2 linked regions of the Pelodiscus sinensis genome follow. Each later gene encodes a partner of the first gene's protein in a complex. Links are inferred from orthologs where the notes say so. Each region holds a gene or a part of one and is shown on either strand. Other genes may lie near its edges. The genes, in order: GRB14 and INSR.

The links.
Region 2: the proteins of GRB14 (region 1) and INSR are in contact, whole or in part, in a crystal structure (PDB 2AUH), measured with the Homo sapiens proteins. The link is inferred for Pelodiscus sinensis from reciprocal best matches to the Homo sapiens genes GRB14 and INSR. Residues at the interface, in NP_004481.2 of Homo sapiens: Glu373, Asn374, Ser375, Leu376, Val377, Ala378, Met379, Asp380, Phe381, Ser382, Ser386, Val388, Ile389, Glu394, Val398, Ala399, Glu401, Glu402, Gly403, Leu404, Trp406, Arg407; in NP_000199.2 of Homo sapiens: Leu1065, Arg1066, Ile1069, Glu1070, Lys1112, Arg1116, Arg1163, Met1180, Arg1182, Tyr1190, Lys1192, Gly1193, Gly1194, Lys1195, Gly1196, Leu1197, Leu1198, Pro1199, Val1200, Trp1202, Ser1207, Leu1208, Lys1209, Asp1210, Gly1211, Gln1235, Asn1242, Glu1243, Leu1246.

Annotation. Positions count from the first base shown.
Region 1 is NC_134717.1:36,399,499-36,403,404, reverse strand, and holds the start of GRB14 (growth factor receptor-bound protein 14), read left to right. Parts: upstream 1-1,186; 5' UTR 1,187-1,385; coding exon 1,386-1,522; intron 1,523-3,838; exon of another isoform or gene 3,839-3,840; coding exon 3,841-3,906. UniProt on the Homo sapiens protein: Adapter protein which modulates coupling of cell surface receptor kinases with specific signaling pathways. Binds to, and suppresses signals from, the activated insulin receptor (INSR). Potent inhibitor of insulin-stimulated MAPK3 phosphorylation.
Region 2 is NC_134729.1:20,789,330-20,793,235, reverse strand, and holds the start of INSR (insulin receptor), read left to right. Parts: upstream 1-1,189; 5' UTR 1,190-1,247; coding exon 1,248-1,323; intron 1,324-1,662; exon of another isoform or gene 1,663-1,866; intron 1,867-3,906. UniProt on the Homo sapiens protein: Receptor tyrosine kinase which mediates the pleiotropic actions of insulin.

The sequences.
Region 1 (3,906 bases):
GTGTACATATAAGTTCCTGTCTCCAAGAAGTATTGGGAAGTTTTTATTTAATATGCTTATTATTAATGGTCCAAACCTACAGATAATTGATGGGAAAGTATTTGAAAGGGGTTCCTCACCTGTCCGGGGCCTGCTCTGACCATTGGGCTTACGTAGTCATACTCACAGTGTTTTTGGCCTGATGCATAATAAATTATTTGTATAAAGTAGATTGGCTTCACTAAGAGTGAGTGAGAGAGAAACCCACATCAGAATGAGGGTAGTTCAGTGTTTTAGTGCTCTCCTGAAAGAAAGGAACCTTCTGTTCACGTTTCTTTGCATCACCAAGCAAGAGGAGGAACTCAATCAGAATTTCTCACATTCTGGGTTAATATCCAAACCACTGGGATAACAGTTACTAGGAGTTATGTTTTCCTGCCCACCCTGGGGAAGTTCTGGGTGGAGTTCCAAAATAAAGCTAGGACAAGGCCCATCTTCCTGCAGTTTGAAGATCCTCTGTGGGAAAAGCATGACAGAGGTAGCTGGTTGCCTGCCTGAAGTAGCCCTATGCAGCTTCAGGTGCAGAAATTTAGGTAGTTTGGGAACTTGTACAACTGAAATTTCATCACTTAGAGATGTTAGGCACCTATTTAGCTGAGTGGAGGCTTTTTTGGATCACAGTAGTGCCTCTGTAGGGGCTGTAGGCACGTGAGTCTGGGCAATGTGGGTTAGTGCCCATGGAGGATTTTGCTAGGGGCTGTACATACACAAACCCTGCCTCAAGAAGTTACAAACTAAAAGGACAAGGCAAAGGGGGGGGGGGGGGGGGAGGAGAGAGGATCTTCTCTTTCTCTCTCGAGCAGAGACTGGGGTCAGGGAGAGATGAAGTACCCGAGGTCACACAGCAAGTAGGTGGCAGAGGTAACTGAACCACTAGGAGCATCCCTGGCTCCCCAAGCCACCACTGCAGCGGGTCAGGGAGCCAGCGACTCGCACAGGAGCCGCATGGAGCAGGTGCGGAGCGAGCGCCACAGCGGGTTAATTCCCCCTCGTCTCCCTTTCCCAGAACCTAGCGAGTGAGCCCGAGCGGCGCGAGCCTGGCCCCAGGCAGCCCGCGGCTGTGCTAGCGCAGCACCGGCAGGGGGGCTCGCTCCCGGCGTGGGGGCGGTGAGCGCAGGGAGCGCCCCCGCCCCCGCCCAGGTAGGGTTCAGCGCTAAGGGGCCGCAGGGGGCAGCCCGGCCTCCCGCCGCACGTGTGAGGGGTGCAGGGGCGGCAGCCCGGGCGGAGCTCACCCCCCTCCCCCGCGCAGCAGTCCCCTCCCTACAAGTGGGCCCGCCGGCTCTCCCGCTGCTGCCAGAGCTCGCGGAGGGGCTGAGCCAGAGGATGGTACCTTAGGAGCCGCCGCCATGGCCGCCCCGCTGCCGGATACGCCGAGGACCGCAGAGACCCCGGCTCCCTCCCGGGAGAGCAGCGAGGACTTGGCTCCTTCCCCTTGGCTCGCCCCTCTCAGCCCTCGGGCGGGGCCCCGGCTCGGGCCAGACAGGTGAGGCGGGGGCAGCGGTTCCTCTGCCCCGTGTGGCTACAGGTGGCTCCGAGGCCCCCCTCGCAGCCTAGAACCGCGCCTCGGGCTCCTGAGCGAAAGGAGGCTCCGTATTGGGGTGCGGGGCTGTTGGGTTCACAAGGCAACGAGACGGTTCGGCTCCTAAACCTTGCGGGGGGGGGGGGGGGTCCTGTTCACACCTGCTCAAAACCAAGCGGAGGACGCCGTTGCATAGGGCTGATGCCTGAGCAATAGCGGGGTTGGAGAGAGACCTGGGCGCACAACGGCGGGCGGCTACCGCTAGAGGTTCGCCAGCCAAGGCAGAAAGATGTGAAGGGTCCCGTAGCGGAAGCATTTTTTCCCCCACTTAAATCCTTCCTTCTCAATTGGCTCTGAACAGTCACTGTTAACTCCCGCTCCTGCAAACACTTATGTATGGGCTCACCTTTCCCGTGGCGTTATTTACAGTAGCTCGGGCACAAGTCTTTGCAGGATAGAGTCTTTTATCGTTTCTATGGCAATTATTTTAGGTCTTCACTGATCTGTTATTCCTCAAGAGCTTTTAGACCTTGGGGTTGTTGTTTTTTAAAATAGATTATCAGCCAAAAAATAGTTTTTTGCACAAGTCATCAATTTGCAATGACACTTTGGGGCCATAATTAATATTGCTGCGAGGAGTCCTGTGGCACCTTCTAGACTAACCGAAGTGCTAGAGCATAAGCTTTCGTTGGCAAAGACCCACTTCGTCAGATGCATCTGACAAAGTGGGTTTTTGCCCACGAAAGCTTATGCTCCAGCACTTCGGTTAGTCTAGAAGGTGCCACAGGACTCCTCGCCCCTTTTGCAGATTCAGACTAACAGGGCTACCCCTCTGATAATTAATAGTGCTGTTTATAGTTTCAGCATTTGATCTACCAAGGCTATATCAGCAACATTATACACCACAAAATTTTTTAAAGTGAAATGAAATGCATGATAAGAGAAATCCATTTCCCAGAAACATCTACTACTAAAATTTCTTCTGGAAGAGTTGCAATAATTTTAAGTGTACCAAGTGCACATTTGTACCAAGTGCTTTTAGCAGCTGTTAGTTTCCTTTTAAAAGATGAGTTTGTTTCAACTTGAATTAAAAGAAATGTAGCTGTTAGGTTTTTATGCAGTATCTGTCAGTTGTCTACATTAACTTCTCCCACACTTAAAAGTATTGTGAGCAGAATCTTTTCCACTCCTGCTAAACTATTGTCCTTTTAAACTTCTTTAAATACTTCAAGAAGCCTTAAAAGTAATTTCATGATATTGAAGTCTAAACATTTTTATCATACTAATTAACAAGTGACACACAGAATAACATTAATGCAGGTAATAAAGAGGTTAAATATTGACCCCAATCTTCAGCTTACACCAATAGAGGAAAAATAGATGATTGCAAATCAAATCAAGGTTTACAGCACTTTGATTTCTGTTGCTTAGAAGAATAGGTACTAATTTATATTTTACATGTCAGAACATTATGTACCATAGTGTGCACAGCATTTCAAAAGTTTAGGTGTTGCTGTTTTCCATTTCTATAATCATTCTGAATCTTAATCTGCTCAAACAACCACAGGCTTTGGCTGGTGGTATTTGAAACAAAAACAAACGTAGATTTTAAAAGCAAGACATTTTATGTCTCATAGCTAATTAAGGAATCATACAAGAAAGAAGACAGAGGCAGTTAGAGGAAGAAAGGGACATTTTCCTATGTGAAATGCCAAGCTATTAATTACCTTTGGACCTGATTCTGCAAAAACTCATGCAGGTGCTTAGTTTTATCATGAGTAAGTTCATATCAAATGGATAGAGCTACTCGTTATAGTAAAATTATGTGCATGTGTAAGAATCAGGTGCATATTCCTGAAGCTATTTGCTAATACCTGAAGTATGGACACACGTAGGTCCAGATGCTGTAAATTACTAATGTAAGTCTTAATTTTACAACCATGGTAATCACTGGGATTTAATTTAATCTTTCTCAAGAATTGAAATCAGAATGCGGTGTTCACATTCCCAGGAAAAGGGGAGGGTTGGGAAATAACTAAATTGACAATGCTTCTGGTGATGTAACTAGTTAGCCACTGGAGGAGATGGGTGTAAAGAAATCTTGCATATGCAAAATTAATCATATGCATTTTAATCAGTACAGTTGTCTAATAAAATGTGCTAGTAACATGACCAATAATTAATGTGGCAACCCCCTAATATTAATGTCATTATGTATACTGTGAACATAATGCTTTAATTCAGCAGTTTATTTGATTTTCTTATGTATTTTGTTGATGTAGGATCAAAAAGAAAGAGCTTGGTATGTTGGAAACGCCATCAATTCCAAACCCTTTTCCTGAGCTATG
Region 2 (3,906 bases), on another chromosome or scaffold:
GCAGGAGCGGGCAGGCTAGCCCCTTGTGGGGTTTGGGGCAGGGCAGGCTGGCCTCGGGGGCTGGGGGAGAAGCGGGGTGCAGGGCAGGCTGGTCCTGTAGGGGGCTAGGGGCAGGGCAGGCTGGCTCCCTGTAGCTGGGGGAGAAGCGAGATGCGGGGCAGGCTGATCCCCGGGGGAGGGGAGGGGCGGCTGCGGGGCAGGCTCGTCCCCTCGGGCTGGGGGGGAAGCAGGGTGCGGGGCAGCTGCCGGGCAGGCGGATCCCCTGGGGGGTGGGATAGGCGGGCCCCCTGGGGCTGAGGGGAAGCGGGGTGCGGGGCAGCTGCGGGGCAGGTGGGCCCCCTGGGGTTGGGGAGAAGCGGGCTGCAGGGCAGGTTGCTCCCCAGGGGGTAGGGGCGGGTGGTGGGCAGACGGGCCCCCTCGGGCTGGGGGAGGTGCGGGGTGCGGGGCAGGCTGATCCCGGGGGGGGGGGGGGTGGGACAGGCTGACCCCCTGGAGCTGGGGGAGAAGTGGGGCTCGGGGCAGGCTGATCCCCAGGGCAGGTAGGGGCGGGTGAGGGGCAGGCGGGCCTCCTGGGGTTGGAGAGAAGCGGGGGGCGGGGCCGGCGGGCCCCCTGGGGCAGGGGGAGAAGCGGGGGGCGGGGCCGGCGGGCCCCCTGGGGCAGGGGGAGAAGCAGGCTGTGGGGCAGGTTGCTCCCGGGGGGGGTAGGGGCGGGTGGGGGCCGGCGGGCCCCCTGGAGCAGGGGGGGAAGCGGGGGGCGGGGCCCCTGGAGCGGGGGGGAAGCGGGGGGCGGGGCCGGCGGGCCCCCAGGGGCAGGGGGGGAAGCGGGGGGCGGGGCCGGCGGGCCCCCAGGGGCAGGGGGGAGAAGCGGGGGGCGGGGCCGGCGGGCCCCCAGGGGCAGGGGGGGAAGCGGGGGGGCGGGGGGCGGGGCCGGTCGCTCCCCGGGAGGAAGAGCCCGCAGCGGGGCGCGCGCTCTCGGTTGGCCGGGGCCGTGAGGGGGGAGGCCCCGCCGCTCCAGTCCCGGGGGCCCGGCAGGTGGCTCGCCCCTCCCCGGGGCCCCTCCCCCGGCCGCGTCCCGTCCCCAGCCCGGCTCCGCGCCGCCTCTTGCCGCCGCCCGCTCCCAGCTGACGGGGGCAGCCCCTTGTTTACCGGCCAGGCAGGCAGCCGCGAGCCCGGCCCGCGCCGCCAGCGGCCCGACGAAGCGGCGGGAGAGGCGGGCGCGGGGCCCGGCGGCCTCCGAGCGGCGGAGCATGGCGCTGAGGGCGGCGCTGGCGCTGGCGGTGGCCGCGCTGCTGGGGGCCTGCTGCGGCCCGAGCCGCGGGGAGAGTAAGTAGCGCGGGCGCGGCCTAGTCCCCGGGGCAGGTGCCCCCGCCACGCAGCCGGCGCTGAGGGGAGCCGCGCTCGCCCGCCCCCCGCCGCGCGGGCTGAGGGAGCGTCTCCCCCGCGCGGAGGTGACTGTGCCCCCTGCAGCCCGAGCGGGGCGACAGGGCGGGAGGGTCGCCCTGACACCGCCCTTTGTACCTGAGCGGGGGGGGGGCAGTTCCAGGACTCCCCCCCCCCCCCCGAGCACTTTCTTGCTTTTCATCCCCCCCCCCAACCAAATGCCTTTCTTCAGGGTGGGTTTGGGTGGGAGCTATAATGAGGGGCGGGAGTTGCCTTAAATGAACAGAAAGTGGCGTCTATGGAAGGACTGACTGATTGATTGATTTGTGTATTAATTTATGAATTAAAAAAGGGGAGTCAAGGTGCGCGTGGGAAGCTCTCCGAAATGCAGCCAGCGTGCAACGTACCTGCGTGTGACTGAAAAGAGGTCTAGCAACAGCTACAAAGATAACGGGGGGTGTTTATTGGAACAGACACATGGACTAGGTCAGGAGGAAACTCCTTTATTCCTGCTTTGCTTGGCATAGGCTAGTTGGCATTAAATGTGCCCATCTGCATTTTTTTGTTAAATCTCTAAGGTGCTGCAGAACGATTGGTTGTTTTTTAAGGTGTGTGTGTGTTTTTTTTTCTAGTGCAGACTAGCACGGCTACCCCGAGACATTTGTTTTTGGTTTTTGTTACTTTGGGTTCGGGATAAATGAAAAATCTTTCGTTTTATGAAGTTGCTGGTAACTTTACCTTAGTGGCCATGAATATTTACTTCTCACAAGTATTTTGAAATGGGGCCTCTAAGTTGACTTGTGAATCAGGGTCTAAAACTGTTTCTCTTAAATGTGGCATTTGGCATGTGCAGGGGGTATAATTGTATCATGTGTGCCTATATATAAAATAGAGGGTTGAGAACTTAGCCCATGCTTTTCTGTTGGAATTTACCCTACAAGTAATGTCTTTGTAAGTCTATTTTTGTTTTAAACATGAAAAAGCATGCCACTCTAGCCTTTTCCTCGCTATATTACAGAATTCTAACTCTTTTTTTAAAAGTTAATTTCAACACCAGATATAGTTTCTGAAAGCTCTTAGCATGGTGTGGGCTTAGAATGGCAAGGATTTTAAATTAACCACAAAATGGTTCTTAAACAGGTTACAGGTATTAAAAGCAAGGGTGTGGAGAGAAGTTACATTAATGGAGGGATTGGGGAGATTCCTAAATGAAGCTCACAACTATCTTAACGAGTGTCAGACCATTGTTTATGGCTGATTTTAGGTGGATAAGCTTGCTTAAATAAATGACTTAAGCTAGCATTTACTGTCTGAATCTAGCTTGTTTTTGTTTTTATAGAAAATGAAAGAACCTGCTGGTAAATATTTGCTTAAAGAGAATTAAGTACTGAAATTGTTCATTTAATAACCTTCATTGTACTTGGCATGTTTCCCACAGAAGCAATAGCAGTAGGGTGGTTCAGAGTCCAGATATTGCATTGATTGGTACGTCACATACATACAATAATAAAGGTTTCAAAGCAAGAAACACTCCTGACTTTTGGAAAAACAATCTATTTGGCTGGTCACGTAATCAAAAATACCTTCCTCTCTTCTCTCGCACGCTCTTTTAAAAAATTATTCATGTATTCACTTTAAAATTTGAGAAGTACTACTGTGTTTTTCAACTAAGAGTTGAGAGATGGCAGGCAGCCCAAACTGTGGTGTGGGGAAATACATGAAGATTTCATTCTCCAGTGCACAACGCTTTAATTTTAGTACCGATATAACTTTAATTCAGTGACCTCAAAGTTCTTTACAAATTGTTACTGGTACAAACAAACTGCTGATCTTGTGGCTTTCTGTAGCACCATTTGTTCTTGGATTGTTTATGTGTTTATGAATGTAATGAATTAATCCTCACAACATCCTTATGAAATAGGGAAGTATTATTTCTGTTTTACGGATAGAGAAATGGGATCAATGTCCACCGAGTCAGACTATAGCAGAGCCCAGAATGGAACAGGGGGATATTACTTAATTTTATTACGTATATAGTGCCAGTACCGTCCTAGGTATGTTAAGGATAGGGATGTAAAATCCTGTTTAATCAGTTAACTGGACAGGTGAGGGGGTTGCTTCAGCTGGGCTGGAGCATGCCCACCTGAGTCTTGTTGCTTAGCCAAGCCTCCTGGCTGTGTCAGGTGTGGGGCTGCCCTGCTGGTTAATTGTAATGTGTAAGCATCACTTGGTTAACCATTCATAACCCTAGTTAAGGATATGTAGGAAAGTCCGTGGTCCAAAGAATTTTCAATGTTGTCTTAATGCCCATGTCACTCCTCTAAACACTAGCGCACACTCTTATATTTGCAGAGCATTAGAGTATGTATTGAAAATAACACATTATTTAATGTGAAGGTGCATTCAGCAGTTTGAAGATGAATGCATACACAATTGTTGCACAAGCAAAAAACCAGTGAGACATTATTGAGGATTTAATTGTTGCTCCATAAGCAGGCTGTTTTTGTTGAAATAAAGTGACTAATT